Linked DNA regions of Canis lupus familiaris. The protein of the gene in region 1 interacts with the protein of each later gene in a biochemical or structural test. Links are inferred from orthologs where the notes say so. Each region holds a gene or a part of one and is shown on either strand. Other genes may lie near its edges. The genes, in order: RNF114 and XAF1.

Evidence for each region.
Region 2: the proteins of RNF114 (region 1) and XAF1 form a complex in vitro, tested with the Homo sapiens proteins (2 studies listed by BioGRID). The link is inferred for Canis lupus familiaris from reciprocal best matches to the Homo sapiens genes RNF114 and XAF1.

Annotation. Positions count from the first base shown.
Region 1 is NC_049245.1:37,095,131-37,098,948, reverse strand, and holds part of RNF114 (E3 ubiquitin-protein ligase RNF114), read right to left. Parts: intron 3,074-3,818; coding exon 2,967-3,073; intron 2,605-2,966; coding exon 2,490-2,604; intron 1-2,489. UniProt on the Homo sapiens protein: E3 ubiquitin-protein ligase that promotes the ubiquitination of various substrates. In turn, participates in the regulation of many biological processes including cell cycle, apoptosis, osteoclastogenesis as well as innate or adaptive immunity.
Region 2 is NC_049226.1:30,826,617-30,830,187, forward strand, and holds the end of XAF1 (XIAP-associated factor 1), read right to left. Parts: intron 2,596-3,571; exon of another isoform or gene 2,268-2,595; intron 1,881-2,267; exon of another isoform or gene 1,662-1,880; intron 1,015-1,661; exon of another isoform or gene 1,003-1,014; coding exon 589-1,002; 3' UTR 523-588; downstream 1-522. UniProt on the Homo sapiens protein: Seems to function as a negative regulator of members of the IAP (inhibitor of apoptosis protein) family. Inhibits anti-caspase activity of BIRC4. Induces cleavage and inactivation of BIRC4 independent of caspase activation.

The DNA.
Region 1 (3,818 bases):
CAGCAGCTGGAAAATGACAAGCTTGAGGGAAAAGATCAACTAAACACTAGAGAGCACAGATTGAATATTCCTCCCACTAAGGAGCCAGGGAAGATGGGCATATCTAAGGAAAACAAGGGCGAGGCATCGGTAGAGGGCAAAGCTGAGGTGAGAGGAGTGAAGACACAGGATAGGGCAAGCCACAGGAGCAGGGAAGTCTTACTTTGTGCTAGGCCCTAAGTTCAGTCCTCTCTATGGGTCTGAGGACACACGTAAGAGTCAGACTTGGAAAGCATCCTTCTCCTGAGTACAAAATGGAATGATAAGGACAAGGAAGAAGGGCTGCAAATTCAAGTGCTCACAGTGACCAGATTAGTAAGACACAAGAGCAAAGGAGAATGAGTATAAACCCATCCCATCTAGGTGGGCAGCAACTACTCTAGGCCAGCTGGCTCTTGCCTGAACTCCCAGTTTCTCAAATGTAGAGCATCAAGACTGAGAAATCTTCGGATTTTTAAAGATTAAAAAGGAAGTTAAAATGTGTACAGGTCAGATGTATCCCACAGACTGCCAGTCTGTAACCTCAGAGGTAGATCAGAGAGCAATGGAGACAGAAGGAGGAAGAAAGGAATTCACACCTGATATTCCGAAGTAAGTTAAAAGCAGGATTTAGTGTTACCTGTGGAAAGGTTGAGAACAGTTCATGCTCCGAATTTAATGCAAACAGTGCTCAGAACAGCCATCAGAGAGTGTGTGTGCCTAGCAGCAATAGGGCCTGGCTGAAAATGACCCACAATGAGCTAAACTGGCCAAGTTCCCCAGTGAGAGGAGTTGGGAAAAGCAAACCAGAGGGAATTTATCTGTCAAATCTGTCACAGCACAACAGTAAGAGCTCAGGGAGCTCAGTGTAAAAAGTGGCTGTATTAACCGGAATGTGGGCTTGGTAAGGAGTTCAATAAAGTCAAGAGAAGATCTAGGGTATTCTCAAACAGGCCACCTGTATCTTAAAATTTGCAGCAAAAGAAAAATAAAGAATGCCACCAGACCTAATCCAATTAACAAAAGCTCATGCAAATACTAAAGTCTATGCACCACCTTTTAAGCCAAGGGAGCTGACGTTTGCCTATAAATCTAGGTATACAGTCAAGAGAGCAGCCTAAAATAAATGGAAAAACTGAAAACTATGGAGGAGGTTGTATCAAGATCTAGCCTGTCAATGACATTAAGAGGGAAGGGGGCGCCTGGCTGGCTTAGTCAGTGGTGTGTGTGACTCTTGATCTTGGGGTTGTTCAGTTTAAGCCCTATGATGAACATAGGGCTTACTTGGGGAAAAAAAAAAAAAAAAAAAAGAGGAAAGGGTAATACTGCAGACATAGACCACATTAAAACAAAACCACATGCCAGTCTTGATACTTAAACTGAGAAGACTGATAAGCACTTTCTTAATCATTTCATACATTCTCTTTCCCCACAACTACAGACAAACTAGGGAAATGGTAGCTTTGCAGAGGACAAACTTTGTGGACACCAAGGGATCCAAGTTAACATAACCAATGACAGGGGCAACAGACATCCCATGACCCCTGATGTGGCACCCGGAGCACACATCGCTCATGGAACTTCTCCACCTCTAATGATGAAGAATCAGACACACCCAAATTGAAGGACATCTGACAAAACAACTGGCCTGTCCTCTTTATGTTAAAGTAATGAATGGCGAAGAAAGGCCGAGGGAGGGATCCCTGGGTGGCGCAGCGGTTTGGCACCTGCCTTTGGCCCAGGGCACGATCCTGGAGACCCAGGATCGAATCCCACGTCAGGCTCCCGGTGCATGGAGCCTGCTTCTCCCTCTGCCTGTGTCTCTGCCTCTCTCATTCTCTCTCTCTGTGACTATCATAAATTTAAAAAAAAAAAAAAAAAGAAAAGAAAAACAAAAGAAAGGCCGAGGTATAGAGACATGACAACTACATATAACACAAAGATCCAGGATTTGGGGGGAAGATATTGCAATGAAGGATATTCCAATATTAAAATTTCAAGGTATTCCACGCCCCCCCCCCTTTTTTTTTTTTTTTAAGTAATCTCTATGACCAATGCAGGGCTCAAACTCACGATTAGGAGTCCAAGATTAGGAGTCACATTCTATACTGACTGAGCCAGCCAGGCACCCCCTAAAATTGTTAAAATTTAAACACGTATTCTGTATTAAATATTAGATTCTGTCAATGTTACACTTCCTGAGTGTGACAAACACAAAAAATAAGATTTTTTTTTTACATGATTTTTTAAGAAAATGTTCTTGCTCTTAGGAGATACATGCTGAAGTATACAGGAGCAAAAAGTCATAGTACCTGCAATTTATCACTGCAACTTATCACTGCAAAAAATATGTACATATAGAGTATCATGAAGCAAATATGGTAAAATGTTATCATCTGTGAATCCAGGTGAAGGATACACAGGAGATCAGTGTATATAAAAGAAAATTTACAAAGTCCAGGTCATCTTACCACAGACTTGGTGTCCGTGCTGTGGCATAACTTGCAGTGCTCCACTAGTCCTTCCTGATCAAAGTTCTTCTCAGGACAGTAAGGGCAAGGAAAGGTGTAGCGATTGGGGACATTCCTGGAAGATGAAAGGCAGGAAAACAGAAGAAACCTGAGTACTTTTCCACATTTCGACTACTGTACTCCCCCAAAAAAGGAGCAAAGTGCAATGTGTTATGACAGGGATTCTGACAATCACTTCAGAATGAGATCAAATGTTGAAAATAATAGAGCTAATACTTGAAGTGAGCATCAGAGTCCTCCACACAACCCCCCACCCCACCCCACCCCTAACACAAAAACTGACATCAGCTGTAGCCAGAATAACAATTATACCTCTACTTCCCCAAACTCCTACAACTAAACCCTTCAACATGCAAAGTGTCCACTGTCTTCATAGCAAAGATGACCTCCACCTAAAGGAGTGTTTGAGTCATTTACCTTGGCTGAAGGGAGGCATCCTTGGTGGTGGCCTTCACACCTTCCATGATGTAATTCTGGTATTTGGAACAGGTAGCCACATGGGCCCGGATCTTGGATAGGAAGAACTTAGGAAGAATCAGAGCCCACAAGTTAGTCAGTACCAACACAGTCCCAAAGCAAGGTCAAAATGAAAACCAGACCTGAACCACTCTGGCAAACAATCTCACCAGACTCCTGGCTATGCTGACAGGGCTGAAAGCAAGTTTGTTGCAGGCTTTTTGTTAATACCAAGGCTGATAATCTTATTTAACCAACCCAGGACATCTGCTTCCACTCTAAAATAACTCTCCTAGAGGTTTGCTTTTATTCAAGGTATGCTCTCTGCTCACATACTCCAAATGCAGTGAAGGTTTAAAAGTTTTCCACACAGCATTCTAACTTGCTCCTCTAGGCAGTCCGGGTGGCTTAGCGGTTTAGCACCGCCTTCAGCCCAGGGTGTGATCCTGGAGACCCAGGATGGAGTCCCAGGTTGGGCTCCCTGCATGGAGCCTGCTTCTCCCTCTGCCTGTGTCTCTGCCTCTCTCTCTCTCTCTTTCTCTCATGAATGAATAAATAAAATCTTTAAAAAAAATTTTTAAAAATAAACTAGCTCCTCATAGTAAGCCAAGAACACATTTCATTATGTGCAGCAGTAAAAAAAAAAAAAAAAAAAAGTAATCATTTAAATAAAAGAGATAAACACCAGTAATTCTAATTAAAGTTACAGAATGCCACATTGTGATAAATGATCTTAAAAAAAAACTGAAATCTGAATTCCATTTCCCCTATAAAATCTAGTCCTTGCAAGATGGAAAGAGAAAGAAAACCTAG
Region 2 (3,571 bases), on another chromosome or scaffold:
TGACATCCAGGTGGCATCCCTGCTGGATTCTGCGACCCTCCCATTGTGTCGCCCTGGGGCAGCTCCTTCTCTCTAGTTTCCTCATCTCAACAGGAATAAGATGCCTGCTCGTTGTTCATGATGAAGAATAACCATTTGTAAAGAGCTTCCTGTTCTCGCTGATGGATGATGGTTAAGTACCTCTAATGCCAGTTGTTCTTGTTACTAGAAAATAATTTAGGATGTAAAAATAATTAGGATATTGAGGGAAATGGCTATAAACCCTGGTGTGTGGGAGGCGAGCCACCAACTCAGGATCTCAATAAGACTCATCTGATCTCCGGGCCTCAGTTGCTCTATGTACCATGAGGGAGCTATGCTGGATGCCCTGTGCTGCCTCTGGCCTGGGAGCTGGAGACACAGATAGATCCAGCTCTGCCTTCAAAGGTGGCCCAGAAAAAAAAAAAAAAAAAAAAGGTGGCCCAGGCTCTGGGAAAGTATGCAGAGAAGCTGAGCGGCTAGTGCTCTGAGAGCGTTCACCTGGGCCCATGGACAAGAGGGAGACGGAGAGAAGGGCCTGGTGGCAGCATCTGCAGGTGCCTGTGAGTCTCAGGTTTCTGGACACGCTGTCCAGAAGGCTGATGGGGAAGCAGAGGACAGAGGGCTGGGTACCTGGTGTTGACTTAGGATGGGCTGGGGGAGCAGGATGCCACAGCAAGAACACCCTCCCAGAGTGCTATAGGCCGCCTCGTCTTCTGCGGGGAAGGTGAGCCTGGGGTCGTGGTGCCCCAACCTCAGAGGCAAAGGCAGGGTCGTGGTTCTGTTTGCACCTCTTGCTGCTTGCTTTGTTGAATTTTGAGAAGGAAGAGGACACCTGTTTCTCTTTTTGATTTTCGGACGGACATCCTTTTCTGCCTTGGAGGTCTGCTCTTGAGCGGTGTGACTGGGGAGGGGAGCAGGAGGTATTCCTGGCTTCCCAACTGGAAAGCATTTCTCAAGCTCTGGGACCAGATGACGCTTATCCTGCAATTAATTGTGAGTAATGTAGCAAATTAAAAAGTTTTTTAAAAAATGACTTTGGCTTTAATAGTTGGACAACATAACAAACTAGAAGACTTGAAAGCTCCCACTACAAACACTAAGAAATGCTGGATAAAATGTGACAAACATTCATTTAAGTTGACAGTTGACTTTGTAGGAAAGAAACCATATGACTCCACGTTCTTGGAACGAAGGCCTACGCTCTAAAGCACACGTACTTGCTGACACTTTGAGGGGAGACGTGGGGTCAGTTTGGTAACAGGGCTTGGATAAGAGATAAGCCCGTCCACACAAAGTGGGGAAGGGGTGTTGGAAGTAAGCTTCCCCTCTCTCTGTGTAGAGCTCAGAACCTGTAGGTAAACTGATGGCCAATAGGAAAGCACCAGCTCACCTGAAAAGGAAAGGGACAAGCCAGCTTGTCTACCCTGGGATCTGAGCACAGGGAATAAAAACTCCGTTTCCTGAAAACTCAAAATCACAGGCCCCTGCCGTTCTTGTATTTGGGGTTCAGGTTTACATTAGACTCATGATCTGAAACTACCCAGTCCTTACAAATTAACGTGAAAACTGGGAAGTCTGGCAGAAGCAATCACGAAATCCCTCTGGAGGACACACAGCCTCAAACTGGGTCATGCTCACAGGTGGCGGCCCACCAAATGGCGACCTAGGCCTACACCCAAAGAAGCAGTCACCCTTGAGTCAGAGGCATGAGCACGAGCAATAGTAGGAAAGCCAGTCTCCAGAAACTTCAGAAAAACAGAACTATGGCAGAGATGCTGTAAACTAAGCTAATCGGGAAGGATGTAAATGAGAGAAAAGAATAAGATCCTGTGAAGAGAATAGGCAAATCTGAAAGAAAGGTAAGTGGAACTTCTAGAAGTGAAAAATACAGATGTTGAGCCTTGCCAGATGGGCCAAACCCAGTAGGATGGATTTGGGTAAGAAAGAGCAAACTTGAAGATTTGAAGAGATTACTCAGAAGAGGAGAGGAAAGTAGAAAATGTGAAAGACGTGAACTAGAAAGGCTTAGATCACATCCCACAAGTTCCATAGAAGAGTCTGGAGAATGTGTGAGAGGGAGGGAGGGAGGATTAGGTATTTAAGGAGATTATATATGATAATTTCCTAGAACTTTGATTAAAGACATACAACTTTAGATTTGGGCAGAAATCTGAGAGAGAGATTTCAGTTCATTATTCTGAGTGGGATGAGTGAAACATAAATCATTTAGTGACATGTAACTACAGATCAAAGACGAAGAGGATCCTGAAATCAAAGAAAAAGAACGTCTACACAGGGTGTCAGTTATGCAGAGAGAGGACTGGTCAGCAGCGACGGCAGAGGAGGGAGATGAGCGGCAGCCTTCCACATGCCCAGAGGGAATAAGTTAACCCAACGGCCGCTCAAGATTGCAGGAAAGAGGAGCGCCCGGGTAGCTGTCAGTTACACATCTGGCTCTTGATTTCAGCTGAGGTCATGATCTCAGGGTAATGACATTGAGCCCTGTGTCAGGCTCCATGCTCAGTGGGGTGTCTGCTTCAGATTCTCTCTCCGTCTCCCTCTGCCCCTCCTTCCCTCCCTCTCTCTCAAATAAATCTTTTTAAAAATTGCCCTCTGTGCTTTCTTTCTTAAACTATTTGAGGATATGCTCTCCCAAAGAAGGGGTAGAACAAGAAAGAGATGACCTAAACCTGGAATTTGGGAAGAGAACCCCAACACTGGAGAGAGTAGAGGTAAATCCCAGAATGACAGCTATTTATCAGATCTAGGGAGCATCATGCCCTCAAACTGAAATGGATACTACTGTGCTTGATTATACCAAGGGGAAATTTTTCAGGTCCAGTAGAAAATTTTAGGAATGACTTACTGACAGGTACCTAGAAAGTGAAGCAAATGAAAAACTGAAGCAATAACTAACTCCAGGGAAAAATCAAAAGTTATAGAAGAAAGTACATGTAATCATGATTTGTGTGGCACATTTACAATATTTACATGATCCTAATAACGTAATGTTGAATATGGTTTTAACCACAATGGGCGGGTAGAGAGAAGGAGGTGTGTATAGGATAGCAGGTATGCATAGGATAGCTGGTGTAAGAAAGAGAAATCCATATCCCTGAATCCTCTTGGATTAATAGATCATATCTAAAATTGGAAAAGAAAATAACAGTGTAAGAAGGTGCTCGAGAAATAGAAGATAAATACCAGAAGAAACAGGTAATAGGATGAGAAAGTAGCTTGAAGGGAGTAGTGGAATTTGTTTAACTGGGCCACAATATGTAAGTAAATTACATAATATGTTAGAAGTTGATGGAGCACCTGGGGGGCTCAATCAGTTAAGCATTTGGCTTCAGCTCAGGTCATGATCCTGGGATCCTGGGGTTGAGCCCCACATTGGGCTCCCTGCTCAGCAGAGAGCCTGCTTCTCCCTCTCCCTCTGCCTGCTGCTCCCCTACTTGTGCTCTCTCTCTGTCAAATAAATAAAATCTTGAAAAAAAAAAGTTGATAAATGCCCTAGAAAACAGTAGAGAAAGGTAAGGGGGTTGGTGCA